4 linked regions of the Struthio camelus genome follow. The protein of the gene in region 1 interacts with the protein of each later gene in a biochemical or structural test. Links are inferred from orthologs where the notes say so. Each region holds a gene or a part of one and is shown in the gene's direction. Other genes may lie near its edges. The genes, in order: PLCG1, PDGFRB, SH3BP2 and LCP2.

Region 1 (7,261 bases):
CTGCTGCGTTGCCCGTCCAGTTCGCAGGGGCCACCGCCCTTGGAGCCCTACACCGCTCCGCGTTGGGAAACTGAAGCCGGACGAATTCAAGATATAAATAAATAACATGGTTTTATAGCAAAATCGAAGACGGGGGACAGTGAATCTGGAGCTGCAGTGGGTTTCGCAGCAGCCGGCATTTTATAATCCGGAGGGATGCTGAAACGCGAGCAGGGGCGAGGGGGACGGCGGGGCGAGCCGCAGGCGGGGGCGCTCGGAGAGGTAGGCCTGCCTTGCTGGACACGGATCCGTCCCAGGCTTCGCGGCTAACGCAGGCAGCAGGCAGCGCGCCAGCGATCCTCGGCGGCTCCGCGGCCCCAGGCGGCTCTGCTTTCCATCCCAGGCCAAAAAAAAAAGGCCCGCGCTGCTCCGTGTCTGCTAACACGGCGCGAGGGCGGGAGGTAACCCAGCACCGCGATCCCCGTCGGAGTTTGCGGAGCCTTTCCTTGCTCGCTGCAAGGGCAGGAAACACTCGTCCTCAGCAGCGATTTTCACAGCCCTCGGGCTGGTTGCTCGTTCGCTAAACCGGGGAGCTCCCCGGGGCTGCAGCTCTGCTTACGGCAACACAAGAGCAGAAAGCAGTGAATAAACAACCCGGGGCACGGTTCATCTCTCCAGGAGGCTGCAAGACACTGAGTAACTCTCCGATGAGGTTCTGGCACCTCTTCTCGAAGCGCCTTCCCCTGGGCTTCGCGATGCCTCTGGGGGGGCCTCAGGTTTTTTTTAATCTAGATTTTTCTCACCAGACCTTGAGCCAGGCCATAGTCTGTCCTTAAACCTGTGGTCACCTGGGTGTTAGCCCGTTGCTTGTTCCTGGGCAGAGGATGCAGCTGCTGCGTGAACGCATGCAGGATTGCAGGATGGGGGGGTTGGCACCCCATGCTTGGGACTGCAGATCAGGCCAGGGACTTTGGGGGCCGGGCTCATGCAGGGGAGGTGCTGGGGCCATTGCCGAGGTGAAGAAAGCCTTTCTCTCAAGGGGTTTTGCAAAGAGAAACTTGGAGAGCCCCGCTCACCTCCCCAGCCGTGCAACGAAGGTGATTACGGGGAAGTGCTTCAAAAGCAGAATGCTCCCAGCGTGGCCCACCCCGGATCAGACCCCAGGACAACCGAGGAGTACGCAGTCCGCAGGGGCTGGAGGAGGTGGCTGGGTGTGATTGCTCACTGTCTCCAATACAAGAGCAGGGGGCTGCCGAACGAGGCCAGCAGGCAGCGGACAAACAAAAGCAGCTTCGCGTGCTGTAAAATCAAGCTGTGAAATTCCTTGGCACGCAACAGCATGAGCACTGAGAGCCTACGTGGGTCTAAAAGGTGGTTAGTCGAACTTGCGGAAGAAAAAAATCCAGCCAAGGCTCCTTGTTGCAAACCACCAGCTCAACATGCGTGCCCGAGAGACCCACGTCTCCGGTGCCGAGGGGACACGGACGTACAGGGGAAGGACGGGCGGCCCGTCTGCCTCCAGGCACCCACTCGCAGCGGCAGGACAGGGCTGGCCAGCCCCGGCGGAGCCGAGACGGACGCTCTCGTGTGGCTGGGACCAGGTGGCGTTTGCTTCCCCCAGGACCTGCCGTAGCGGCTCGTGCCCCATCCCTGAGCTCAGCAGAGCCGGATAACCTCCTCGGGGGGAGCGAGCAGGCAGCAGGAAGGAGACGTGTTCCTGCAGCTGCCTCGCTGCGTCGGTACGAGCCGGACTGGTGGCACCTGGACAGGCGTCAGCCACGGCGCTGGGGTCCCGTTAGCTGCGAGGAGGAGCGGGGACCAGATGTCCCTATGCCCTATGAGCCCCATCCTACTCACAGAGGCGGGTAATGACCAGATATACCCACGTGCTCAGCTCCATAAGTTACCTCTCTGCTTCCTCACTAGCCAGGCTCCCCTCTCAGGTTTTGCCCTCAAAAACAAGGGTGTGCCCATGCCGCTCGGCTATTTTCGGACCACTGGGAGCCGGCTGCTTCCTGCCGGTCCCGAGCGCGGCTGTTACACAAGCAAGGGAGCAGCTTCCCCTTCGCGAGCGGCAGGTCGCCCCTTCGTCGTGCGTGCGCAACCGGGGCCCCCGCGCCGCGGTCCCACGCCGGCAGCAGCGGGCTCACCTGGCCGCCGCTGGGGATGCCCAGGCTCGCCCGGGGTCACCGGGGCTGCGTTGCAGCCACGTGTTTGTAAGAGCTGCTCCAGGCAGCTGTGCCTTTTCCGAGCGCGTGCCCAGCGTCCCGTCGCCCCAGGTCATCTCTGAGCTGGCTCCCCTCCCCGGCGCCCCGTTGCCCCTCGGTCGGGGAGAGCCTGAACGTCGACCCCGGCGAGCCGACCCCGGCGAGCCGACCCCGGCTCGCGCGGCAATCGGATTTGCGGCGAGAAGCTGCTCTGAGGACAAGGAGGGCAAAGCGCAGCGTGGAGCTCGTTTTTTGGCTTGCTCTCTGGCTCGCGGTGCCGTCAACGTGCAGGTCGTTTTGACGCGGGCAGGTTTAGGTTCTTATCCCGGTTTTGTTTTTCCTTTCTGGTCTTTTTAACGCCTAGGAATTGGGCAGGATCCTTTAAAACCGTGAACGTCGTAGGGCTGCTTGGGCACCTGCATGTGCTTGCGCCTGTCCTTTAGACGCCGGATGGGGGGTAACCGGACACAGACAGTGGCTTGCGTTTGGGGTGCGTGCGGGGTACCCTTAGGTTGGGCGGGAGACAGCATGGGGATGCGCTTGCCTTCAAGCAGGCCGGTTCGTCGCCAACGTTTCCTGCGGGGTGGCCAACGGCGGTGTCTCCCCCCGGGGCCGGGCGTCCGGGAGACGGCCGCAGGCGCAGCCCTGCGGGGCGGCAGCCTCCCGAGGGGGAGGAGGGCAGCGGGGAGGAAGGCTGGGAGGGGGGAAAGGGAAATTGCAGGCTTTAGCTGCATGAATGGAGCAAACGGTCCAGAACCGCTTTCCAATTCAGCCGCTTATCCCCTTGCTAAGGCGGCTTTTGTTTCCCGCGGAGCGCAGCCCTGCGGCGGCACAGCTGGGGGGGGGCAGCTGGCTGCGAGGGGGGCTCAGCCCGGGCGGGGGGCTTCTCGCCCCGGCCTCTGCGGCCCGCACCGAGCGCACGAGCTCCCGCTGCTGCACCGAGCCGGCTCCCCCGCCGCTGGGGCACGGCCTTGCTCTTGCCCCGGCCCCCCGGGGCCAGAGGCAGCGGTGGGCGCTCGCCCGTCTGCCGGCCGCGAGGGCGAGACCTTGCGCCCACCTAGCGGCCTGCACTGCCTCCCTCACCTGATTTAGCCCCCAAAAGAGCCAGTCTTGCTCAAGTTGCGCGGCCCTGCGGAGCGGCCGTCGGCAGGCCGCGGCAAGGACCGCCGGGCAGCCCCACGTCGCCGCGTCGGACAACGCTAGCCACGAGCCGGGACCGGCGAGGAGGACGCTGCTGCAGCCGGAGGCCGGGAGCGGAGCCGCGGGGCTGGACCCCCCTGGGGCTGGAGGGAGCACAAAACCCTCCCGCCCGACCCCTCGCAGCGCGGCAGGGTGGAAACCACCTCGCGTCCCCAGAAGCGCCCGCTGCCAACGCGAGGTGTGGGGGGCTGCGGGGGGCTCGGCTGGCTCCCTCCTGGCTGTGCACCGGCGCGCTGGTAGGTTCACGCCAGCACCCCACACGTGCCGTGGGACCCCACGTGTGCTGTGCCATGGGGCGCACGGCACACTGGCACCTCACACGTGCCGGGGAGCGCTGGGAGCCCACGTGGGTTGCTGGGTGCGGGGTGCGCTGGGACCTCAAGCACACCGCGCTGTGGGGAGCATGGCACTCCGGGGACCCCACAAGCGCTGCAGAGCGCACAGCACGCTGGGACCCCATGCGAGCCGTGCCGTGGGGTGCACGGCACACCTGGGAGCCTGGGAGTGCCGTGGGGTGCGCGGCACGCTGGGACGCCCGAGCGCTGCGCCGTGGGGTGCGCGGCCCTCCTGGGACACCGGGCAGGCGGCGCGGTGCGTGGCTCACCAGGACCCCACGCGCGTCGGAGCAGGGGGTGCTAAAGCCAAAGCCTGCAGTTTCCCTTTCTCCCCTTTGTGCGGCGGCGGCGCGGGGCTGCGGGGCCCGGCGCGGAGCAGCGGAGCAGCGCAGCCGCCGGCACCGCGAGGGGGCCGCGCTCCGCCGGCGCGGCCGCCCCTTCCCTGCCCCCGCGCCCGCCTCCTGGCCGCCGGCCGCCGCGGCGGGCGGGCATGGGGCGCGGCGGGCGGCGCTGAGCGCGGCGGCGGCGGCGGCGCTCCGGGCGCTCCCGCTCCCTTTTGTTCGGCGGCTCCGCGGCGGCGGCGGGCGCTAATGGCGGCCGGGCCGGGCAGCGGCCCCGGCGCGCCCAGCGAGGCCGAGGCGGCGCACCTCTGCCGCAGCCTGGAGGTGGGCACCGTCATGACCCTCTTCTACTCCAAGAAATCCCAGCGGCCCGAGAGGAAAACTTTCCAGGTGAAGCTGGAGACGCGGCAGGTCACCTGGAGCCGCGGCTCCGAGAAGCTCGAGGGCGCCGGTGAGTGGGGGAACAACGGCGGCGGCGGCGGGGGGAGAGGTTTCCTGGTTCGCCCGTGCCGGGGCCGGGGCCGGGGCCCGCCTTGCCCTGCGCTGTCCTGCCCCGGCGGGGACCCGGGCGGGGCGGCCCGGGGGGGGCGCGGGAGCGGGCGAGCGCCGGGCCCGGCCCCGCCGGTGCTGCCGGGACGCGGCGGGTGGAAACTTCCCGCACCGTCCTCGGTGCCGTGCACCGCCGGCTGCCGCGGAGGAGCCGGCACCTCTGCCCCGGGTAAGGCGCACCGGGAGGAGGCAACAGCGGCCGTGTGAGCCCCGTGGGGGTTACACCTCAGAGCAACGGATGAAATTAAACAAACAGCCCCCCTCCCCCCCAAAAAAACAAAAAACCCAAAGAAACCCAACGCCAGAAAGTGCACCGAAACGCCCCGTAAGGTCAGCGCTGCCTCCTGCCCTCGCCCCTTTGTGCCGCCGTGAAGGCTGATGCGGGGTCAGGGCTGGCGTGGCGGGTCCAGGCCCGTCTGCGGCCATGTGTGCGGAGCTGCTTGCTGGCTTCGGCTTCCCGTGGGCGACGTGGTTCTTTAGCACGAGGAGGGTAGGAGAAAAGACTCATAAGAAACGTGAGTATAAAACCACAAAGACGGGTGGGAAGGGAGAGAGAGAAGGGAGGCCCCACACCAGGAGACTTCTAACCTCTTGCTTTGGTTTCCTAGCTTACTGCTGTTTCTTTTAAGTTACCTTTTGCACCCCCATGCGCACCAGTCTGAGGACACTGTCTCTAGTTTGGCTCTGGAGGAGAGGAAGAGCTGACACGCACAAAGATGAGGTGACGTAAATCCTGGTGCCGTCACTGTCGTGCGTTAGCACCATCCCGCGCGTTAAGGGATGTGACTGAGGCACAGTGCAGCTTCGATGGAGGTTGTCGTCTGTCCTCTGCTAACTTCTGCTGGCCCAGGGTGGAAAGGCTGGAAATATTTAATGTTACCAGAGGGCTCAGATGAAGAGAGGACGTGGAAATGATGGACACAGTTCTTTAGCAGGACCTCAAATGCTAGTGTGTCCAATCTGGGGCTTTCGTTTGCTTCAAAACCCTTGGAGTCTTCCAGCTTCTCCCCAACAGCTCCTCCAGGCGGATCTGGAGGACGCCTAGGTTTCCCAGCCCCATTAACATCGTGGGATGTTAAGTTCCTCCATACCTTTCTCAGGGTGGCCTCTAGGAGCTTTCAGGCAGTGGGAGAAAGAGGGAGGAGCCTGAGGCATGGCTTGCCCTGGATTTAAGTCACTTTTAAAATATGGAAAAGCATTAGCTTGCTGGCAAGATGCTGCATTTTGTGGCAGTGGGGGACCAGGGCCTGTGAGGGAAGAACCCCTGGAGGGGCTCTGGTACCTGCTGCCCTGTACACGGGTGATTATTCCCATGTGCAGATGTAAATGTTGAAAACTTAATTTTAGAGAAACCTAGAGAACTTTAACTTCTTGCACCAAAACTGTAGTAGTAACAATGCTTATAATGTCTTGCCGGTGAGGACTTACTGTGCTGTGCATAGGGTGAAGACCAGACCAGTAAAAGCAGAGAACAAGTTCCAGGGACCGAGGTAATCAAAAAAAGGCAATCCATGTGTTTCTAGCAAATGAAAAATAAGAGTCAGTGGTCACTGAACACCTCGTTCCCTTATGTCCCTTTAAACATCGTAGCAGAAAGTTGTTGGTGAGTTGGCCCTGGTGGCCTTGTGCTCATGGTCCCCAGCATGTTCCTCACATCCCATGTTGAGCGCAGCCCTCCCAAGGCGTGTGTTTTCTGACATGTCGAGATGGGTGGTACTATAGCAATAAGATGTCACCGTAAAGAGGTTTCTTCCTCCCCAAGCTGTCTCTGATGCCAGATGCACTAATGCCCAGCAAAGCAACTTTGTTGTCGTTGGCAAATTCTACACATGGCCTCTTCTCTGCACCTACCTCCTCTCACCTTAGCTGTTGGCCTTAGTTCCCTCCTCCTCCCAGCACCCAGAAGAAAGGGTGTCCTGTTGCCCAGCAATCCCGAACACTTGGCCAGTTTCCCCATTTTCATCTGAATGTGCTTTCTGGGTGTAAAAAGGATGCCTGGGAGACCCCGGATGTATAGATTCATAAGAAATGTGGCAATTATGTGTTCCACGTATGGCGTTTTATATGACAAATGCATTGACTTATTTCTCTCCTGGCTCATCCCACTCTTGAAATCTACCCTTGATTGGCACAGGGCCCACTTGGCCATGGTCTGATCCAGGGTAAAGAGTCTGAGCTGGAGTCAAGCTGACCATTTTCAGTTAGGTTTAACCAAGAGCAGTGACTGATTCAGTTCTCCTGAGGAAGGCGAGCAATGCCAGGACTGGGAGCAGATGGTTGGGGCTGGCAGGGAACACTGGGCTTGGCTTTCAGTGTCAGAACTGTCCAGGCCCTCATGTCGAATATGCACAAGACTGCGAGCTGAGCAGAGCGGCCTGTTGTCAGGACATTTGATGTTCTTTTGCATGGAACAGCATCTGTGCTGGGCGATGCTTGGGGGGTCTACAATTCGAAAACTGCAATGTTCATGGGTTGGTAATGAATTTATTGTGTTTCCTGAGACTTGGAGACCTAAAAGGAGCTTCACTCTCCCCTGGACACAAGCTAGTTGTCTAAATAAGAATGATCCTAATTTTTTTTTATGCATTTTCAGAACAGGTATCTGCAGCATACCACCTACAGAGGCCTCAGTCTCAGGGCACTTTTGTGT
Region 2 (7,512 bases), on another chromosome or scaffold:
GGGGAGCTCCCCGGGCTGCCCGCGAGGCTCCTTCCTTTGCAGCATTTCAGGCCCTGCAGGCGCTGCACAAGCAGAGGGTTAACGCTTCCCACGTTAAGTGGCTGCAGATGTGTGGGAAAGTCTGGGGCGACCGGACGGCACCGCTATTAGTATTCACCCAGGAGCCTGCCGCCGCCTCCCAGGGCTCCGCCGAGCACATTTAATACCAAGGCCCGTCGCGGGGGTTAGGAAGAGTGCGTGGGATGGGGGCGGAAAGGCCCCTTTTCGGGGGAAAGGCACTGTGCTAGCATCATCCCTGCTGCTGGCTAAAGCGGCTGCCTCTGAGCATCGGCTCCTCCGGGACCGGCCGTCGCTTGCAGCAGACCCAGCACCTCCTCAGCACTGGGACGTACAGCCACACGGCTCCGTGGTACGTCCCCGAGGGCGCGCAGGTCAGTGCTACAGCCCCATGGCATGGCGCTCCAGCCGCGACACTGCCCGGAAAGCCCGGGAACTGCCCTTCGTCCAGCCCAGCAGGGTGCACGAGCCAGGGGAGCCCCCCAGTCCCTTGTGTTTTGCTGGATGATCTCCCTGGAAGGAGCCCAGCACTTTCTGTCCCCAGCCCTTCATCCTGGTGCACCGGGCTCTGCTGTCACCCACCGCCGTCCTGGCAAAGCTCCCGAGCAGCGGGGCCCTGCACAGCATAGCAGTTCCTCCGGAGGAGAGCTTTGGAAAAGGCTGGGTGAAGTATCTGTGCCGAGAGCTCAATCTAGCTGGGAGCAAGTGCTGGCAGCTATCATGATGGATGGCTTGCCCAGATGTTATTCTCTGCTCCCCAGCACCAGTCGCCTCTTTCTTGTGGTCTGAGGTTCAACACCACATCAGAGCGGTGCTTAAATTCCTGGCTTTCTGCCGAGAGAGGCTCAGAGGAGTTGCAACCCCAGGGGAATCTGGCCCCTGTTAACGCCTGCAAGGAGCAGGAGAGGTTGAGCTCTGCCTCCTCTTTCTCACCTGCCTCTCACTTGCTGGCACATGGGTCCTTGTCATTGACTCCAGCCCGTCCTTTCTCTCCATCATGTTGGGTCCTCCTCGCTGGGGCACTAGGTGGAGAATGGTTCTTCTCCACCTCAGGCCCAAGCTATGGCCTTTTCCCAGGGTCCCAGCTACATCTGGGATGGGGGAAGGAGGTTGGGATGCAGTTTTGATCCTGGTGTTGCCAGCGCAGTCCAAATACCCCAGAATGTCCCTATCCCAGCAGCTGCTTCGTGCACCAGAAGGGCCACGCTGCACAGCCCCAAGCTCCTGTTAACACTCGTGCCACTTATTTGGGCTTGCCCGAGGCTGGAAACCTCAGCTGAGAGGGGCTCTGGCAGCCCACGCTGCAGCTGTCCCAGCCCCAAGGGAAGCACTCAGTCCTGCAAGCGCCACCAGCGGGGGTGCAGGAGCCAAAAATAGAGGTGAGCGAAGAAGAGGGGATGAGGCGGAGGTAGGTGAGCTGTTGCCCTCCACCCACGCGCTTGCACGCAGCGTCCCTCCGGCGCTGGCGCTTCCTCCGAGCTGGCCTTTCCCAGGAGCTGCTTTAACCCCAGTGCGCTATGTTCCCAAACAAAGCGCACGGCCCCGCACACTCGCAGCAGCCGTGTGCTTTCCGGGACGCTGCAGGGTCTCCCAGCATCCCAAAACAACGGCCCATGAGCCATAAAAAGTTCTCTCAGGAAAGGGTTTTGCTCGCCCAGGTTGTCCTTGCTCCCAGCCCGGGGATGAGCGCTGGGGTCACCCGTCTGCAGGGAGGAGAAGGGGGAACACGGCGGAGCTGGGGCTCATGCCCTCAAGCATGGCCAGAGCTTGCTTTTCCGCTCCCTGCTCCTTGCTAGGCTGCGTGGCTGCGAGCTCCCATCGATCCCCTCTCAGGGGCTGGGAAGCAGCACTCAGCCAAAATCGGAGCACAGCAGCCCCCTCGTTGGCTGCCCCGTTGCCTGCCGGCCCAAGTGTGGCCAGCTCTGCTCAGCAGGGACACTGGTGTCCACAGGCTACTGGGCATTGGGAGAGGCCCGGAGACCCGTCCCCGCTGGAAGGGGGACAGCGCATGGCCCAGCAGGACGGCACCACAGGCTTTCGGCCTCACTGGGTCAGGAGCAGAGATGTCCTACCAGCCCGGAGCAGAGATGTTGCAGAGCGCTGCTCTGCAGAGCTATTCCCACCCGCCCACATGTCCCTGCACAGGGACCCGTCAGACGTGTCTCTGTCCTTTGGGAAAAGTGTTGGGAACAGCCATGTGCACAGCACGTTCCCTCTCGCCTGCGCCCTACGTGAGCCCAGTCTCCCGCTCAAGGGCTCTGCACAACAGATGGTCCCGTATCCGGAGGGACCGCCCGGGCCCCCCTGCCACGTGGCCCTGCTCACCAGGCCTCCACGCACCTGGAGCCAGGGACCCCGGCCAAATCGGCGCAGGGGATCAGCAGGGTTTTGCCACCACTTGTCCCCAGCCGCCACCTCTTCATCCAGCTTCACGCCACCTCCCTGCGGAGCCCAGTGCAGAGCCCCCTCCCCATCCTTAGGGACATCTCTCCTGTATCCTCTCCTTTTCTCCATCATCTCGCTGCGCTCTGGGCTCAGCCGGACCCGTATCTCCTGCTCAGGCTGCCACTTTCCCTGTCCGCTCTCCAAACCTCACCCGGGCACAGGGCCGGCGCGTTTTGCCCCATGTGAAGCACCGCAGCCCGAGCCCTCGCTTTCCTTTGCCACCACCAGACTGGAGCGCGGGGTCCAATGCTTCCGCCTTGGCTTTTCGTCAGTGACTAGAAAACGCTGGAGATAACTGGAGATAAGCCGCAATCTCTTCGCCTCGCGCAGTGACTCATTAGCTGTCCCGGCTGTGCGTGCTTCGACCGAGCAGAGCCGGAGGGGATGCCACCCCCCAGCACACAAACCAGCCCCCCGTTTCTGCAGCGTGGTCTTTATGGGAAGGGTTTGGAGATTTTCTTGGAAAAGGAAGAAAGAAGCCAAGAAGCGTATCTTCTCAGGGGAGCCTCCTCTTTAAGGAAACATTACTTTTTCCCTGTTTTTCTTTTTCTGGAGTCAGATTAAGGCACAACCTCAAGAAAGAAACTGAGGCAAGAATTGATCGTTCTGGAGATGGTGTCCACCCAAAGACGTGCTGCACCTCGTTTCCCTGGCAAAGCCGACCGCCCGGTTCTTCTCAAGGACCGACGGCAATGCTTTGTCTATTCAGAGATTCTCATTAAATTTGTTCAGACTCACTGGGGGGGGGGGGGGGGGGAGATTTAAAGCACATCCATTAACCTGCTCCCAAGCCCTTAGGGGCGCTCAGGCATCGAGCGCCCGCGCCTCGTGCGGCCGGGGCGGGAAGGGGAGCGCCGAGGGTCTCTCTGCGAATAGTGAAAAAAGCCAGGCAGGTCCTCGGGGCAACTCGGCTCGTCCCTCCGCGTGCCCTCGAGCGCCCCGGGTGGGGTTAAAGCGGGCGGCGTGCGCGCGTTGGCGGTCCCCGAGCGCCGGCCCGAGTCACAGTCCCCGGGCGGCCGGGGAGGCATCCGAAGGGACGGCGCACAGTCAGCTCAGCACAGGCCGTCTTTAATAAAAACATGAGTCAGCTGCTGGCGTGGGCAGCGGATTTTCTAAACATCCCCTCATATCCTGAGAAAGGAAAAAAAAAAGGGGGGGGAGGGGGGCTTGGGGGGGGGGGGGGAAGAGAGCGAGAAAAAGAAAACAGGGAAAAAGGCCAGAATTGAAAGCAGACACAGGGAGAGGGCAGCCCCCTTCCCTCTGGTTTAAGGAGGCCAGAGCCGGGCGATTCGGGCTCCTTTTGTTTCCCATTAGCTGGGCCCTTGCCGCTCCCCCCCATCGGCCGCCTGCGGCAAAACCCCCCCTCTTTTCGCAGCCGCTTTTGCCTTCTCCTCCTTTTGTTTTTGTCTTTTTTTTTTTTTCCGGGTAACCTCATCGCGCTCGTCCGTTGGGGCTTTAATCGAAAGTTTTGCTCTGCGAATGGTCCCGGCGGAGGGTGGAGGGAGAAAGCAGGCAGAGGAGGAAGTCGGAGGCGCTCAGCTCCTCATTGGAGCGGGACCTTCCCTCCTTCTCCTCCTCCCAAGGTCTCTTTTATTTATCCACGGGCACGCACACGCACGCACACGCGTGCACACCCCTCCGCCGGGGGCTGGCCTGCACGCCGGGGCCTGAGGCGGCCGGACCCCCCCAGGCGGCCGGGGGCTGCCCGGGGCGCTGCGGGGATGCACTAGGGCAGCAGACCCAGCCCTTGGCTGCAGCCCAGCCCTGGCACAGCCTGTCCTTGCTTTTTTTCTTCTTTTCCCCCCCCCCGCCTTCCCTTCCTCCCCCTGTTACTTTCTCCCTTCCCTCTGTTTCTGCTTTAAGTGGAAAAGCCTTGCCAGCTGGGGAAGGCTGGGAGGGCAGCAAGAGCCTCAGCAAGCAGCAGATAAGGAGAGCGGAGGAGGAGAGCGAGGCATCCGCGGCGCCGGCGCCCCGGGACATGGGGCACCGGCGCTCACCCGCTGCACACGCCGCACAAGGTAGGACCGCCATGCCCCCCGGGGCTGCTCGCCCGCCCGCTCCGCCTCGGCCGTCACGCTGGCGCACCCCGAGCGTGGCCGGCGGCGCGGGCCCGCGGTCCCCCAGCGCTCTCTGCCCCAAGGGGGTCCTCTGCCCCGTGGGGGGGGGCTGGCGCCCCGAGACGTCCCGCCAAGAGCAGCCCAGAGCCGCAGCATCCCGCGGGAAAAGCCGTCCCGTAAGCTCGCGCCAGGCTGCCAAGAGGCGCTCCTGGGCTGGGACGATGGGGGACAGAGAGCAGAGCACCCATGGGGACAGTGTGACCACGGGGCAGGAGCGCGGGGACCCCCCTGCTGCAGTGGCAGCCAGGACCCAGGGGGATTTCTGCCCCCCCTGTGCAGCGCAGGGGCTCGCGGTCCTGCCAGCCGCAGTCCCCTGTGCCCCATCCCAGCGTGTGCCGCCGTCGGCCGGGCGTCCCTGGGTTTCGTCCTCCGGCCCCGTGGTTATCGGAGAGCTGGGACGTGCGTGGGAAGGGGCCAGTCCCCATCGCAGCGAGGTGTCTCTCGGAGGCATGAGCGTGCTTATCCCGGCAGAGGGGCTGCAAGGGGAGCCGGCCCGCGGTGATGTCCGCAGCCGCGGGGGACCTGGTGGGGGGACGTGCGTCTCTCTCTGCCCCATCCCCAGGACCTGCCTGCGCCGCGGGCAGCCTGGGGACGGGCACCGCAGCCGCAAAAGGCCTGCCGGCGAGAGGCACCCCGTTGCCCACCTCCCCACCACCCGCTACGTGGCTCCGAGGCGGCTCGCAGGAGGCCGGCGTGGGAACGCAGGCTCTTGCTGAGTTAGGAGATGCTTCAGGGCAGCGCTTCGGTTTGTGTTTCCCCCCATAGTTTCCACGGGTACTGAGTGCTTTCCAGGCACTGCAGCGTTGCTGGAGCTTTAACCATCCAACACAGCCATAGCTGTCCCTAAATGCTCCCAGGGACGTGCCGTTTCTGTCACTGGCCCTTGGCTGGATTTTGTCCCCACGGGCCAGGCCGGCCCCGGAGATGGATGTCTGCAACCCTGGTGCTCGCAGTAGGGCTTTTCAGGGCCGTTGCGGGAACCAGCCTGTGTGGGGTCAGCTGGCAGCAGGGCAGCTTTCAAAGCAGGGCTCGGGGTGCAAAGGGATGTTGTGCTGCCCCATCGTTGTCCCAGAGCAGCTGGGACTTCTGCTAAAGCAGCTGGCAAACAGTGATCGCAGCAGCTGCTGGGAGGCTGGTGGCAGGGTTTGGCATGCAAACCCCGTCTGCAGGGTCTTGGCAGGCTCTAATCTTTTTGGATGTTCTTCCCTTAGTGACAAGGGCTAGAAAAGTTGAGCCTCAGTGCTCCTCGGGCCATTTCCCCCCTCCAGCACAGGGCCAGGAGAAAGTGTCTGTGCATCCCATGCTCCCAGGGAGGTGGCACGTTTCCTTTAGGCTGCCTGAGCCAGCAGCAGAGATACAGCTCTGCCTGGCAGAAGGCACTCGCTGGGCTGATGTGGTGGTGGAGCAGCCAGGTAGCTGCCTCTGGCTGGCAGCCTGCCCTGGGCACACGACTGATGGGAGGCTCAAAGTCACTCCTTGATGTTGCTGCCACCCCAGCATGGGCGGCCCATGCTGCCATCCCCATCAAGGGGCTGCGCCCCTGGGGCCAGGAAGCACCTCTGAGTCAGTCAGTGCATCAAGAGGGGTTGGTGTTTGCGAGAAGTCACAGCAAGCCATTTGCAGCACAAAAAAGGATGGGTTTTTTTTTCCCCCTAAAACCAAATGTCCCTTCTTCCAGATCAGAAGGACGGAGCTCAAGGCTGCAGCCACCTCAATACCTGTCCTTGGTTCACCTCCCATAGCCCCACACAACGCCAGGCATTTAGCACCTAAGCAGGGTGCCAGTAGTCTGTAAGGGAAGCACAGTCTAAACACCAGCACGGTAGAGGCACAACCCGCTGTAATACTGCAGTCGGTGTACTTAGCCATGGCTTGTTGTCAAATGTTTGGGGCATTTCTAGTGGGGTCCCACAGGGCTCTGGCCTGGGCTCGGTTCTGCGCAATCTTTGCATTAACAGACCGGACGATGGCAGAGCGCATGTACTAAATGCTGGACGGACGCCAGGCTCGGGTGGGCAGCCAGTACTTTGGCAGATCAGAGCTCAAAATGATCCCAGTGGGCTCAAGGAGGAGCCTGGAGTTAACCAGGCAAAAATGAGTTGGGACAACGTGCTGTGTTTAGGAAGGAAGCATTAAACGGCTCTACAGGATCTAGGGAGCTAACTGTCTCGGCAGCGTGTAGTGTGGGAAAGGATCCGGGGGCTGCAGTGGACACAAACCAGATTGCGCTGTGCGGCACAGGGAAACCAGCAGCCCTTCCTGTGGGATGTGCCGAGAGGAGCACGGCTGGAGGCGGCGTGCGCGGGCCCATCCCACGCCGGCGTGGAGGGGCTGGGTCCCCTGCTCCGAGCAATGCGGGTCCAGTTGCCAGGTCCAGGCTGGAGCTCCACACTTCAGCAAAGGTGCACGCAAGTTGGGAAGGTTCAGGGTAAACACCAAGAATGATCAGAAGGCCAGAAAAGGTTGCAAGAGGGCTGAAAGAAGGGTCGATGGGGCTGTTCGATAGCTGAACACCAAGGATAGGTGGCATGCAGTCCTTGAGTACGTGAAAGGTGGCTGCAAAGCAAAAAGTTAACTTTTAGGGAGAACTTTTGCGGGTTTGCAGACAGATTGCCCAGTGAGGCCGGGTGCCTTCAGCACTGCAGGTTTCCCAGGCCAGTTAGGCAGCATCTGGCTGGGGAGGATGTGGTGCAACAGCACAACAGTGACCTGATGGTCTCCCCTCCAGCCTTGTTATTCATGGGTCTATGACAGGTTGTTCAATACATTCAGAACAATATTGTTATGTAGAAAAGAGTATGAAGTCATTCTCCAGCGCTACCAGGGCAAGACGAATTTGTGGTAACAGGCAACAGAGTAAAGCTGAGGTTAGTAAACTCCTCCAGGCTGGTAC
Region 3 (7,090 bases), on another chromosome or scaffold:
CACTTACCTTGCAGTCTGCTTGACAAGACCCTTACGTACAGGAAATTGTTACAAGGAACAAAGAACCTGTCCATCTGGTTTGAATGCTATATGAGAGTGGAAGTCTTATCTTGATAATGTGTCTTCAAGTTTATTTTAAGAAATATGATAAGCATGCTGCAAAAACGTTCAAGAACTTGCCTTTCATTTTAAGTATTTTAAAAACTTGTTTTCAACAGATTTGAAATCTTGTAATTAAATTAAGCCTTCTTTAAGTAGTGAGGTACTCTGGGTGGAATTGTATGCACCAAAGTTTGTTTTTTGTGGTGCTGTGAACTCCTGAGTCTTGTAATAGAGGACACAAAAAACGTACTACTACTCCCCTTGCCAGCAAGTGTGAGGTAGATTCATCTGGAATAGATGCATTGTATAATTCTTCTTGCTCTAAAGTCCTGGCTTAATGTGTCTCAAACTTGCTTATTTTGAGAATTGGAATGGAAAAATTGCACTGTTTGGAGGGCTTGTCTGCGTGACGCAACTTCACCTGTTCTGTTGGCACAGTCTGAGTGGGGTTGGCTGTGCTTGCTCTTCTGTAGGTTTGAGGGGCTTTTTGATTCAGTATAAAACCCTTAAATTAACTAGAAAAAGCTACTTATAATAAAATTGCCAGCAAGAAGATTATGCCGGGATAACTTTACTGATTTTAATTCAGTCCTTATTTATGTCAGTATGACATCTTAGGTTATTTTTCAGGGCTGGCTGTTACAAGAGAATCTGTTGAACAGTAATGTTGTATTGAGAGTTTGCAGACGGTTCCTCTCTTCCGGTTGCGGAGTCTAATCCCTTTTATACAGGCTATGCCTGCACAGTAAAGTACTTTGTGGCAGTACTTTGGTCTAGAGGCAGCTGAGCAATGTACGACACGAAGTATATCCCCAAATCAGTGTCAATACATTGTCTTCTAGGACCTGTGTCAAGCTGTTTGGTGAAACAACCAAAAGAAAATTACAGCTTTGTTTTAAAATACTTGAGCTCTTTTTCTTAAGTATGGTATCTTTTTGGCCGACTAGTGCTGCCTGCCTCTTCTGAAGACCCAAGTCAACAATATGCCTATACGTGTTCGTAGCTTCGCAGCAGCAGGGTATAAATAGAGACTGAAGTTTTCGACCTAAAACGTTTCTGGGTTTTGAATTGGATATGTGTTACCAAAGCTTCAGCTACTAGGTTTTTGGGGTGGGGTTTTTTTTTTTTTTTCAAGCTCTTCCTTAGTAAGCAGAGTGAGGGAATGGCAGCTGAAGTTTACAGAATTTGAGCTCATTTGGCACAGAGAGAGGATTTCTGGTAGTTTTGGCCTCATTCCATTCCTTCATTATTAATTTTTTTTTTTTACTGTTATTCTGCAGGTCAGCCATCAGAAGCGTTTCTGATGTGTGGTTATTCCTGTTTTCACAGGACTGCCTTACCTAACACATGAAGGATTCATGTGAGTAACTTCCACTTTTTCTTTTAGGTTCCGCAGTTGCAGAGCGTACTGTTTGCAAATATATCGTTTCTCGATATACTGGATGTGTCTTCCACTGATCTAGAAGCTTGGTATGAAACAAGTTTGGTAGAATTAGTAAAACAATAAGACTCAATCTATTTCTGATTCACAGAATCACAGAAAGGTTTAGGTTGGAAGGGACCTCTGGAGATCATCTCAAGCAGGGTCCTCTAGAGCGTGTTTCCCAGGATCGCGTCCAGAGGGGTTTTGAATATCTCCAGGGAAGGAGACTCCACTACCTCTCTGGGCAACCTGGTCCAATGCTCAGTCACCCTCACAGTCAAGAAGTTTTTCCTCAGGTTCAGAATGAACTTCCTGTGTTTCAGTTTATGCCCGTTGCCTCTTGTCCTGTCGCTGGGCACCACGACAGTTCATCAAAGCCAGTAGAATTGTAACAAATTTTTGCCTTGTTTTATATATTTCTGTAAAAGACTGGTGTAGTATGTATGATCTCTAGTGTTACTCTTGGTGGAACCTGACTGCTAAGCTGACAACTTGCTGTGGCTGCAGAAAAGTGGATTTTGTTACTTTCTTTTCTTTCTTCTTTTTTTTTTTTTTTTTTTTTTTTTTGCTGCTGGGACTTTCAGTCTGCTTTTACTCGCAGTCCATTCTTGCAGTTTCCTGTAAATTGGTCAGTAAGAGGAAGCTCTCAGTGCTGCAGAGACAGCTCAGCCCTGCAACTACACTAGTGAATTTGTACTGGTAAGGACAGCGTAGTGTTGCATGTGTTTTACTGCTCTAGCTTTACAGAAGCTTGAAGTAAGTTGCATTGTTTTTGGGGAGCAAGAGGAGTTTGTAATGATGGCAGATACGATTGACAGTCTTCCTCAGGCAGTGGTCCTGCTGCAGTGAAATTCAAATGTCAGTTGATTTTTTTTTTTTTTTTGATGTTTTGACTCTGCCCATTAAGGCTATCTGAATTAAAAATGTCATAGTGTTAAAGAAATGAAGTTCCTCCTTTTGGGTGAAATCTTCCCTGGGCTAGGTTGGTGGAAGGCCTTCTGCCTATAGATTTTGCAGGGACAAATGCATATTAATGGTGTGAAAGCGACATGCCTGGCTGTTTTGCAAAAATAAATTTCACATTATGAAGGAGGATATATTTCTCTTTCACTTCTGTAACAGACAAGTTAATCAAGGACATAAAGATTTCATGTCTATTCAACCTCTTTATCTGTGGTTGAAACACAACTGTTCTGATTAATGACCAGTCTAGAAAGTTAAGCCTGTGTGTTTTTTTTCTTTTTTTGTTCAATATTCTTTCAAAACTGTGGACCCTATAAACTTTTTTGTTCCTCACTGGAACACCAGCTTGTATTGTGTAAAATGTCTGTTATTCTGACTCTACGTTCTTCCTCTATGATCGTCTTGACAGGGTTGGAAATCACCAGAAAAATCAAAAGGGGATCTGGGAACTTGAAATGAACAGTGTGGCTCTGAGTGCCTAAGAGAGGAAAGGGAGAGGAGAGCAGCAGAAAGATCAGAGTCGAAAAGCAGTACTTCGGGAATGTGTGTTGGATAAAGTGAGACTATGGAGTCCAAACAGCATCAAATTAAAGTTGCGCAGTTTGAAGGGGAAAACTAAGGCATAGGTATGTTAGATCTGAAAATGGAAAGAGGAGCAGTGTATGCAATTCGGGAGAAAATGAACTCAAATACTGTCATTTTAATCATAGTTTTTCACTGAGGTGGAGATAAAGGTGGCAAAGATGGTAATGCAAGCTTTGAAGAGCATGCTTAGATAGCAGAGAACTCTTAGAGTATAGCAGAGAGCTAGGGGAAGAAAGATTGCTTTAAACCATTGTACGTGAACGCTTAAAGTTTAAATGGGTGACTTATATTGTAGTAGTTAAACAACTGAATTTAATGCACAAACTACAGCTCTACAGCTTTTCTGTTTAAGAAATCTGTTAATTAACCACTGAGACAACTGGATATTTATTTATTTATTTGTTTATTTAATATCTTCTAAATATTTTTCAGGATTTTGTCTTGATATGCTATTGTTTCTGGCTAGCAACAGGTGATGCTTAGTCTCCTTGCCCTTCCAATATTCCCTGGTTATGGAAGGAGTGCCAATGGGTATCCCAAGGTGAAGAAGATAGAGAATTGCTTTTCTACCCTATATATATGGCTAGTATGTGAAATGTTGTCTTCTTCTCTCCTTTGACTGCTGGGTACTTTACAGAAACAAAAGAATTTGTACAGAGACTTCTTCCTTCCCATTTTGGAATAGGGATTCATGCCATTTTTCCCAAAATACATGAAGTAAGCTTTATTCAGTGTATCAATCTATATAGGTTTTGTCCATCATTCTGACATAGGCTAGCTTTTTTCCCTTATCTGAACTTCTTAGCCGTGTGTTGGTTAATTCCAGACAGCCAGTGAAGTATTCAGATCTTTTTATTTTAAGAACTCTGGATGAATACTATTATAAATGTAAAACAATGGCATTTGTTTATCATCAGTTGGTGGCACTTGCCTGTAGAATTGTTCCCTTTAACTCATGGTCTCCTTGGGTTAGATTTTTATTGTGTTTGGTGGTTTGAATAGTGTCAAACGTACTGACGGTACTTACTACAAACTGTGTATATCCTGCATAATCTTTCAAAGTGGCCATTCTTAATATTTTGAGTTGGAGAGAAAGAAAAGCTCTAGTGATAGTGAAAAAGAGATGAAATACTCACCATATTTCTGTGTTGTAGGGCAGGTGCTGAAGCGCTTGGCGCTCTTCAGAAGCACCAGGCAATTTTTCTGAACTGTGCCTCTGCTGGTCTGAGAGCCTGAGTGCACTGTAAGAAAAGTGACTACTTTTTTTCCCCCCCCTCCCCTCTCCCGTGGGAAAGTGGTTGATTGAAAGATGAATAGGAAGCAACTTGAGCACTGGAAAATCCCCTCTGCAGTTTGGCTCACTGTCTGACAGAAGTTGAGATATACATGGCTTGATTTACAACCTCTCTGGGAGATTGGGAAATCTGACAAAGACAGTGCTGCCCACTAGCACTGGGGGAAACAGGAAGTAACAAAGGAAACAAGTCATTGCCTAGGCGTCCCCTTTGGCCACACTGCAGTGCAGATGCACGAGCAGTTGGGGCAGGGTTTCTTTTCCTTTTGTGTTGAGTGTACAGCAGCCGTCGCAGTCACACATTGAGCCTTATTATACACAGAATTGGGAGCAGCGCAGAGATGCCCCTCTCATGTCCGAGAGGGGTCATAAGTTATTAATGGCTTTGTTATTGCAAAGGAAGCGATCGTTTGGTGAAACTGTCAGCAGGAAAACTATGTGTCGATCAAGCATGGTCACCAGGTTAGTGCATGTCTATCTGTGGCTTGTATTTCTGTGTTCTTTCCTCTTTTAGGTGGAGAGCAGACTAAAGCTAAGAGTAGAATATTGTATTTGGGAAAAATATTCTTTACCCTTGAATTTTCTACATTAATTATTAGAGGGGGAAGAGATGAGAAGAGTTGGAACTGCTTGCCTGAAAAGAAAAGCAAGCTGAAGCAAGCTGAAGTGTGTGCCTCAGTCAGGCTTAGTTCTCTGTCCCCTTTGTCCTGTAAGATCTATTTGACTTCCCAGTGTTTGTGCTATGCTATTAATCCTTCTGAGAGACCATTGTGAAAGGAGCTGTTAGAAGTATTAGGAAATGGAACGTGTAACCCCCAAAAGTGGGAGAAATACGGATCAGCATTTCAGAAATACTGAAAAATATTTAATAAATGAAGAATAATCCTGCAGACATTTCAGGACTAGAAAAGAGTTTTGAGAACAGATGGTAAATGTGTAAACTGTTGAACTGAGAACTACTTTTTGTTCAGTCTTAATGAGAGCACACTGGGGAAACTTTTATAGTTCTACTATACACGTAATGCTACTTCAGTTTTGGCTAAATCATTTGCAGAGACTGAAACTTAAATCTCCCTCTGCAAGGTATGTGGAATGCATTCGTTTTCATAAATTCTATGTGCATTCAGAAGCAAACATCTTGCTGTGCTAGGTTTTACTTTCCAAATAGAATCTAGAGGCTTTTATAGAGTTTAGAAAGTCCTTAGATTTAATTTACATTAAAATAGCTTGCGATGAATTTGGATCAGATTCAATTTTTGTAATGCAGTTTTGGAGTCTAGTTTTTTTTGTTTATTTTTCAGCATGACCAGGCTCCAGGATAGACTGTAAATATTATTATGACAAGTGAGGACTTTTAACGCAGCTTTTGGCAGCGGTAGTTTCAGAGATGAGAGTAATGTGTTTTTACGCCTGTATGCTGCAAGATGTGGAGCTCATCACATCTGCTGTATGTTACACTTGAGTTCAGGAAGAACTGAGGACTCATGGCTCTTTCAGGATGCAATCCTTAGTTGAATCAGCCTGTATTTGCTTTAATTTGGCTGAATGCTGATAGCTCTTAAGGCCAAGAGGGGTGAGTGTTCTTCCGTAATGTATTCCAGATTTAATGTGGTAGAACTTTATTTTTACTTTGTTTGTTTGCTTGTTTTACTTTTTTAGGGTTTTTTAGCCTGTGAAATTATACCTCATACTCAAATCTAGCTATTTTCTATGCATTGACTGAGGGGATAGGTTGAAAATTACTTCATAGATGTGTACGTTTGCACATTATACAGTAACAGCAGCCTGTACGGTGTTTGCGGTTGTGTTTGATAACAGTGTCATTATGATTCAGAAGAAACTTACAAAGCAGCACGGCCTTATCAAGGGTACACCATGAAGTGCATAAGTTCACCTTTCTTCATGCCGTTGTGAGTTTCATGATACAGATGCCCTTCTTTGTGCTAAAATGAAGGGCACTTTATTTTGATAATGTCTAAGAAAGGTATATTCAAATGATAGACAGGGTTGGACTGACTTGATGCATTAACTGTGCACTGCAAACTGTTTTGGTTTTCAGTCTGGCGGACTGAAAACCAACATACATACGTTTGCAGCCGGCAAACATACACTTGCATGTATGAAGCAGGTACAACAGTACTTGCATTAAGTGCTGTATCTTGCTGGAGAGCAGTGTAACTGCACTGTTCCGTCTTTCAAAAAACGGTTGAAGCAGTTCCTATAAAGTGCTGTTCCAGTGTTTCTCCTACTATACTCAAAAGCCTATGATCTCCCTCAAATGGTCACAGGGATCATAAGATCACTGTCTGCTGTAATTCTCTTGTGGCTCAGAGGTCTAGTTCAGTGCCATTTCAGTGAGGAAGGAGGTTGGTTTAATAGCCACTTGTAATGGGTTTTGGGACGTGATGAAGACTTAGTCTAAAAATATGTATCTATTTCCTTGGTGACAGGAGTGGGAAGGAGCATGTGTGTGGCTATTACTAGAAACTAGCACAACACAAAGCACAAGTGTTGTTGCATTGTAGTTTCTAACAGGACAGGCATCAGCAAGTGAGCGTGGCTTGTCCTTGATGGCACTTGGTGGACCCTTTCTATTAACTTCATTGTTAACACAATGGAAGTGCAATTAAGTCAATGTAGTGCAAGACGGTAACTACATAAAAACCACATCTTGGAAATATCTTTCTGCTCTTAATGATCATAGAGCTAATAGGCTCTACAGT
Region 4 (7,844 bases), on another chromosome or scaffold:
GTAATACCTACATTTCAAGCTTGCAGCTGCCTTCCTTGCTAGCAGAGCTTTTCATATCCAAAGGGCACGAGTACAACTGATCACTATCTCCCAAACAAGTCTGTCTCCTTTTTCTTTCTCCCTTTCCCAACTTCCCTTTTCCGGGCTAAGCAAAACATTTTCCAGCCTTTCCTCGGTAGACATAGTCCCTTCTAGTTCTCCTCTGCGGTTTTCCAGTTTGTTTGGATAAATGAGACACATTATGCCACATATGACCCTAAAAGAGTGGGACGAAATATTTACCTAAGGAAACTATACTACCGCTAAAGTATCTCAAACTATTTGCCTTTTTACAGCAACTTAGTTCGTATTTGTGCCTTTCTGATTTCTGAATAGAGTTCAGCTGCACTCTAGTGGCTATATTCTAGGATTTCAGGCATTTCATAACTGCCTAAACTCCATTTTCCCACCTACTCATACTAGTACAATTCACTCACAGTGAAAGCTATATTTCTTCAATTATGTACATTTTTTTCCATGCAGAAAAATTATTGCTGAGGCTGGAGCTCAGAAACAGTATGCAGAATTTTTCTATGAAATAGTATTTGAAGCCTGTATCTCAGATATAGATTCAGTCAAACCTTTTATTTCAGATGCAGGTAGGCTGGTAAGCATCTACCTCAACTGCTATTCTTAGGAAGGTGGCATAACCATAACCTAGTTTTTAACCCAAGTACCAAACTGGTACAGTGTCAGCTAATCAGTGTGCCATGCCTCTGCTTTAAAATAGTGGTCCCTACTCACTGGTGTTCTCTGCGGGCTAGCCGCTAGGTGGTGAGGCAGGTTTGTAATTAGAATCCAGCCAAAGAGGTTTTTGTTAACTTTTGAAAAACTTGGTTCTGCATCTTCTATTACTGCACAGACATTGCAAAATGAAGGTTAACATTTGACTGCAAGATTGAAGGGAATAATGGATAAGGACATTTAAGGAGTGGCAAGTGTGGCTTAGTGATTATTAAAGACAGTAAGGAATATACAACATTACTAGGAAGATATTTAAATGGCATAAAAATGAAAACATTCTTACCATGTTGTATAGGCATGTATACAACTCGGAATGAGAGGATGCAATGATAAAAGAAAACGTAGGTTGGCAATAATAAATAGTCCCAAGATGAAAAGAAAAAAATTATTGCCTGAGACTTTGAAAAACAATACTGGCCAGGACTACAGAAAAACATGTCATCGAAATCCACTTTGCTTTGGGCTGGAGATGAACATGAAGACCACATTCATATGAAATTTGAACTTTTTTTGCTTGGCTCTAGAAAAATTGACCTGGCAACTGTTTATTTTTTGCAGAAAAATAAACCACTCTGAAAGCTGTTCTAAGTAAGCCCTTGATTCCACTTTGAGCAGGGTGCTAGGGGACAGAAGAGATGAGAGGACATGGAAAGTACTGAGGCCCTCTGAACACAGCAGAATGTGGGCAACGTGAATTTCCCTCCTACTTTACCTGAAAGGGCTAGGCTCTCAGATTTCAAATACTGCTTAGCAGACCATTGCTACATCTGAAAAAACTGTTCCGCTGGCAGCTGTTATTAGAAGAGGCATATTTCTTTATGCCAAGGTTGTGTCACTGCAGGTATTGACTTTAAAAGACCTAATTCTTTCAAAAGGGAAAAAAAGGTCACAGTGAAATAGGTATGAAACTGGTAACAGTTGTAACATGAACGTTCTCCTCAGAATTTGGAAATCTAGGAGAAATTTGGAAATCTGAATCTAAATCCATTTCATGGAAGATTGCCATCTGATGTCTATAACAAATTCTATTACAGAAGAGATGTGTATTGTCCTGCAAACTCATTCTGTCTTCACTTCCGTCCTCACTTGCAACATAAGATGGGACTACTAAGATCTAAAAGCATGTGATCATTCCCTCTCATGAAAAACACAATAGCAGGATCTAAGCAGAAAGTGAGGATTGCCACCTCTGAAATGTTTTCAGTTAACAATCGAATTCCTGTATGTAGCTTGTCAAACTTGGCTTTCTTCTACAAGAGCTCTCTGTGGCCTTGTATGTTGGTTGTGGTTCACCCAACCACCCTGCAGTCATTCCGTCTTCCTCCATAAAAATTGGATGTTATTGCTTCCCTAACATCCTTCTTTACCCTCCTACCCAAATCTGACTAGAGATTAGACATGGGCTTTCCTAAACTTGGACATTCAACTTTTTCAATTTCCCCTCTTGGCAGCCATTACAGTGTTGGGAGTTCCCTCTCTATGAGCAGAAGACGCTGCAGCAACAGGGGCACTGCGAGAAAGTGCTGATTCTAGATGCAATAACTGTGGCTCTGAAGAGAGAGAGAGAAGCAATAAACAAGTGGGGAAATGCCAGAAAAGTGAACATGGGAAAAACTGAAAGAGAAAGGCAATTATGTCCTTTTCTTTTTTCCAGGACCAAGATCTCCCTTTGTTGAATATAGATTTGCCAAATTACATTTCTGGGCCACAAAGAAAGACATTTAAAGCATTTTTCATAACAACAACTCTATGCAGTTCAGTTGGGATTGGAGGATGTGACTCACGTGTGGTTATCTGTGAGCTGAGTAACATTTTCCGCACTAAAATACATACATAGGTTAGCGATGCAATTCAAAATTGTTACACTAATGTAGCAGTATAGCTAAAAATTCAAATGCAGAAAACTCAAAGTTATGTTTTCTCAGCAACCCTGACACGGCCACCACATCCTATGCCTTTATCAAATTACAAAAAAAATGGTTCTAGACAAAGAGAAAGCTCAAGTCAGTGTGAGCTGGGATTTTGTAAAACGCATGCAATAAGCATGTACCTACAAAATATTTACAGTGACTCACAACATAAAACAAAAGATCATCCATCATGGGATCCAAGCAAATAATAATGATGACTTCAATGTGTTAAGACTTTCTGTGTTAGTGGCTCTCTAAAATAGTAGATAGACTTTAAAGGTGACCGACTTTCTCTTTGAACATATAACAATGTCAGACTAAACTTTAATTTAGCTAATAATTTTTATATTACTGTAAGTAAAGAATAATACCATTGAAATTGGAGTTGTTACATTAGATTTACCTTGGGATAGAAATTTGATTCCAGAGCCACGTGGAATGTACTGAAAAACTGTAATTGCACGAACAGTCAGAAATTACAGCATGGTCTTCTTCACGTGTCTGTACTGGAAGAAACCGTTTCTTTGTTGAAAGACCTCATGGTGCCCGGTGGGGAGTTAGAGATAGATGTCATGTAACCTCCTCTTTACTGCTGCTGCTGATACACCATCAAAACAACTTTTCCTTTGGGGTTCCTTTGTCACATGTTCATTTAGTCTTATTTCCTCCTTAGACCTAGATTTAAAATGAAGAGGTGATGATGTTTCTGCGATACTGTCAGTATATGCTTCCGATGGTTTATACAGGCCAGTGCAAATAAGAACCAATAAAACTTAGCTCTACCATGTATTTGCTAAGTTCTATGCTGTGTTTAGAACAGCTGTTACAGCAGTTTAGTTTTAGAGAATTTTAAATACCTTGCTGCCATCATTTCCCAAAATGTTTCTCTAAAAAAGCAAGCTACATTAAATCAAATGAAGACTATACATTTCAAAAGGAAAATTCTCATGCATAATACTACAGAGACTGCTATCTCAACTAGAGCTGTATGCAATAAACTTGTGAATTTGCGGCCCAATGTCAGAAGGTCTTCAATGACTAGAAAGAGCAAGAGTGAGGCATTTCATTAGAAAGAAGAGAAACTTTCCTTTCCAGTGCTTCAGAACTATGATCTATTCTTTCTAATATAGAAAGTTCACAAAATACCACCTTCTGTCCTCTCCACTGGAGCAGATGCGGACCGTGACCCCAAGCATGCACACCAGTACAACCTGGGGAGGAAGCTCCATATCAAGAAAAGTGAGAATGAACACGCCAGGTCTTTTTAAAAAAACAGGTGACTTTTGAATTACTCGATGTACTCTCACCAAAGGGTCTCACTGAATGGATGGTGCAGGAATTGGCTATACATGACAGATGCTGTTTGTCAGGTACCTGCGGTAATATTATGGTTCTGTGGATTCTTTTTCAGACATATAACAATGCTCATTAGAGGCAGCTAAGAAATGGAGCTAGAGGGAGAAAGAATGGCAATATAGTCATTTTTTATACGTTTGTCTTTTAATTTCACTGAGAGATAGTCATCACCCTAAATTTGAAAGACTGAACAAATGATGACTGTATTCACACTCCTAAATCATTCATACCTTCTTATGTTCAACGTCAACAAGAACCTTTTATTTTCTGTATGTAATATAAAGTAGCATACTGCTATGCACATATGATTTGATCAAATCCACAGACATAATGGAGAGCCTGCTAATTAGAATTTGCATATGAGTTTGAGAAACCTATCGCATGAATTGTATTAGATTATAATATAGAAAGCCAATGTGACACTCCAGGCAGGGAGATAGGGTGAAGAAGTTTCTCTTAAGTAAACTTTTCTGTGTTTTCAGAGACTGCCTGGGCAAGACTGGCACAGAAGCAGAGATCAGTGCAGCAGAGATCAGTGCAGTACCAGTATTTTTATACTGGATATAGTATAGAAATATGCCAAGACGTGCTCTGATGTAATTACAAGCAAATAGAGTCCATAGGAGCTTACTTATATGCAGCAAGCAGAGCATTTTCAACAGGTTGCTGTGCTTCCTTGTTTACTTATTTATATATACAGACAAAGGAAGTGGTAAGGCTGACTAGCTGACAACTTTTCTGAGAAGAGACCATTTTGTATTAGAGGAAGCAGTAGCTCTCTTGGATGTGCTAACAACGTGATTCTGAAATAAAAAGTCTGCTAAAGAGAAGGAGCTGGGCATTTATTTATACGTGCTGGAGGTGATCACACACAGGGAATACATGGCAATTTCATTGACACTACTGGCATGAACATTCTCTAGCTGCCTGAAAGAGAAAACTTACTTACAATGGATTTGAGAAACATTCCCTATCGTTCAGACGTGGTTACCTGGAACCCGGATGACTTAGCAGAATATTTTAAGACGGTGAGTTTAACTGTGTTTTGTCTTTGTATGACAGAGGAGCAAACTACTGCGAAATGTTTATGCTAAAGATAGATTTTTTTTAACAGAAAAAGTTTGTTGCAAAAATAAAACCAAAAACCACCACCAATTAAGAAACTGAGCTAAACTTGGTAGTAAAACCTATAAATGAATCTTGAAAGTGTATTTTAAATTAACTGTAAGAGAAACTGATGGCTTTGCAGAGCAAATGCACACACTACTATAACAATTGTTGATAAAACATAGATGAAGGCTGTAAAATACATTAATGTGTAAAGATTACAAGCTTTCTAGGTCTTCTTCAATGATTTTCAGAAGTGAGATTTTTCAAATTGCTCGATGTTCACAAATGAGATTCTGAATGTCTTTGCTAATCAAGGCATCCATATGAACTCAGCCAGGAACTCAGCAGATGTGGATACAAGAACTCCTGCGGGTTTTTTAGGGTCAGTGTGAAAACCTTTTGCCTTGTGGTTCTAGTTTCCTACTTGAAAACTTCCTGGATGAAACTCATGGGTCATTTCCTCACTTCTCCCCTGTTTATGAGAGAGCTTTTCATCAAGGTTACTAGCCACCCCTTTTCTCCCCTCACTGTTACTTTTTCTGAAATTACCTTGTGTGGTCAGCTAAGGACTTCTGCTTCTTTTAACATACCTTTCACTGGTGAACAGTTCTAAATTTCATTTTACAAGGTGGAGGATTTTCCACAGTTAAGAAATACTTTCAAAGGTAATATGGCAATTCAGTGTTAATCTTCTACATAGCAATGCTGACACCATTGTAATTGCTCAGGAATGTGTAACTGACTCAATTTTACTGAAATTTCATTTCTATATGTTCTCTGCAAATTCATCGTTTTTCAATTCACATAAGAGAGAGTGCCTTGTCTATCTCCCTTGCTGCAGAATATGTTCCTCCTCAAATCCAAAACTGTCAGCTTGGAATTTAACATTCAGATCAATCAAAAGATTTGGGAACATTTTCAAGCAATGTGAGCATACATGTGTTCATTTTCAAGTGAGCTATCAGACTAGTCTTGGGGGGAAAAAAAAAACAGGGTCACTTCAGGGTTTGCCACTGAAATCATGCAAAATTCATGGTTTCAACAGTTTTCGTAGTTTTCTTTGGGGAGTTGGGGCAAGTTTGAAACTAGAATGCAAAACTAGGCAACAAACAGATCAAACAAAAAAATCAGTATTTGCAAAATCTCCAGAGAAGTGAAACTGCCAGCTATCTGCAAACCTTTAATTCCAGGCACAGTGGTTAGCAGCACAGTACAGTGGAACAAAGAAGCAGAGATAGAGCAGATGAGCTTATTACCAACAACCAATTGCAGATGAATAAGGAAGACATTACAGCATTGGTGCATGGTGGTTTGGATCACCATTTCCAAGAGACTAACAAAAGAAATGGCTTCCTGAAAGAGCTGCTAATGATTTTCTTAGCAGCAATACAAGGATCAACTCTAAGTTCTATCATAATTGGTACACGGGTTTTTGAGTACCTCCCCTTTATTGATGCACAGACACCCTCCAGGATAGAGGTAATGTTAGCATTCCTCTTTTGGACAGGAGAATCAGGGCCAAGAAAAGCTACTCAAAGTCTTATAGGAAATCTGTCAGACAATGATGTCAACCTAAGTTAGACAAGTCCGGGCTAAGTGACCAGATCCTTCTCCCCAAATTAACCCATACCATTTCCCTCACACATAGATTAAAGGGTCCAGTACTATACCTTAACAATGTTTTATTTTCATCTGACTGATGTATTTTGCCTTGGAAGTATCCTGCAGCCCCATGTTCAGGACTTCAGTTCCAAGAGGGATGAGCAAATCTTTTCCTGCTGCACTGAGATAATTGAGGGATGATTTTCAAAGGAGGGATGATTTTCAATCAATCAGTCACATTCAAGTCCACCATCACCTAACAAAGCGATCATGTGGTCATGTCACAGGGCAGTGGAAGTTAAGACCTTTGTCAATTCTGGTTAGCAGTTGCTCGTTGCTGCTGTCAGGATTGTGCTGGCGATACTGTGATGGTATTCACTATATGAAAGAGTTATTATTTATAGGTTTAAATCTTCAGTCAGCACAAGTTTTAATATGCATTTGAAAATGTTTAGCAGAGTTAGGTCTGTTTCTGTATATGAGTAACTGAAGGTGGCTCCCATAAACTCTCAGCTGTTCAAATGTTTCTAGGATCTGGTCTCAAACAACAACTAGTTACAAGATTTAATTGTACTCCTTAAAATTGACTAGAATAAAAAAAAAAAAGAAGAAGAAAGGACATAATGTTCCCTTTAAGACTCCCAGCAGTACAAGATCTGTTAGCTGTATAACTTTTGACTAGCTAAAGCCCCAGACGAGGCTGTAGACATTCTTTTATTTTGAGAATAAAAAGTTCTCCCAGAAGTCACTTTGCCTACTCTTTGGGTTCCTTCTGCCATGGACTTACCTACTTGAAACAGAAGAAATGCCTTCTAGCCATTATATTTAATGTATTTAATCCCTTAGAGATCTAAAAGATAAGCTGTTTTCTTACATGATGTTATTTCAGTTCAAATCTAAAACTTAACGCACCCACTGGAAATAGTTAAAAGTCATGTACTTCCAAACGTGGCTATTTTATTTTATTTCTGTGAGTCCCTCAATTTACATTTAAATTTTATCCGAATAGAACCAGGAACTTTCTTGTTCCTAAATATGTGAAAATACACTGAAGGATCTTTGTCTTAACAATCCATGTTTACG

The links.
Region 2: the proteins of PLCG1 (region 1) and PDGFRB form a complex in vitro, tested with the Homo sapiens proteins (3 studies listed by BioGRID and IntAct, with this or other methods). The link is inferred for Struthio camelus from reciprocal best matches to the Homo sapiens genes PLCG1 and PDGFRB.
Region 3: the proteins of PLCG1 (region 1) and SH3BP2 form a complex in vitro, tested with the Homo sapiens proteins (2 studies listed by BioGRID, with this or other methods). The link is inferred for Struthio camelus from reciprocal best matches to the Homo sapiens genes PLCG1 and SH3BP2.
Region 4: the proteins of PLCG1 (region 1) and LCP2 form a complex in vitro, tested with the Homo sapiens proteins (2 studies listed by BioGRID). The link is inferred for Struthio camelus from reciprocal best matches to the Homo sapiens genes PLCG1 and LCP2.

What each region holds. Positions count from the first base shown.
Region 1 is NC_090959.1:7,244,769-7,252,029, forward strand, and holds the start of PLCG1 (1-phosphatidylinositol 4,5-bisphosphate phosphodiesterase gamma-1), read left to right. Parts: upstream 1-4,224; 5' UTR 4,225-4,311; coding exon 4,312-4,513; intron 4,514-5,020; exon of another isoform or gene 5,021-5,035; coding exon of another isoform or gene 5,036-5,126; intron 5,127-7,261. UniProt on the Homo sapiens protein: Mediates the production of the second messenger molecules diacylglycerol (DAG) and inositol 1,4,5-trisphosphate (IP3). Plays an important role in the regulation of intracellular signaling cascades.
Region 2 is NC_090954.1:7,334,154-7,341,665, reverse strand, and holds the start of PDGFRB (platelet-derived growth factor receptor beta), read left to right. Parts: upstream 1-4,354; 5' UTR 4,355-4,480; coding exon 4,481-4,520; intron 4,521-7,512. UniProt on the Homo sapiens protein: Tyrosine-protein kinase that acts as a cell-surface receptor for homodimeric PDGFB and PDGFD and for heterodimers formed by PDGFA and PDGFB, and plays an essential role in the regulation of embryonic development, cell proliferation, survival, differentiation, chemotaxis and migration.
Region 3 is NC_090945.1:76,988,747-76,995,836, reverse strand, and holds the start of SH3BP2 (SH3 domain-binding protein 2), read left to right. Parts: upstream 1-3,957; 5' UTR 3,958-4,719; coding exon 4,720-4,829; intron 4,830-7,090. UniProt on the Homo sapiens protein: Binds differentially to the SH3 domains of certain proteins of signal transduction pathways. Binds to phosphatidylinositols; linking the hemopoietic tyrosine kinase fes to the cytoplasmic membrane in a phosphorylation dependent mechanism.
Region 4 is NC_090954.1:19,271,770-19,279,613, reverse strand, and holds the start of LCP2 (lymphocyte cytosolic protein 2), read left to right. Parts: upstream 1-4,761; 5' UTR 4,762-4,999; coding exon 5,000-5,077; intron 5,078-6,829; exon of another isoform or gene 6,830-7,020; intron 7,021-7,844. UniProt on the Homo sapiens protein: Adapter protein primarily involved in signaling pathways within T-cells, as well as other immune cells such as platelets, mast cells, and natural killer (NK) cells.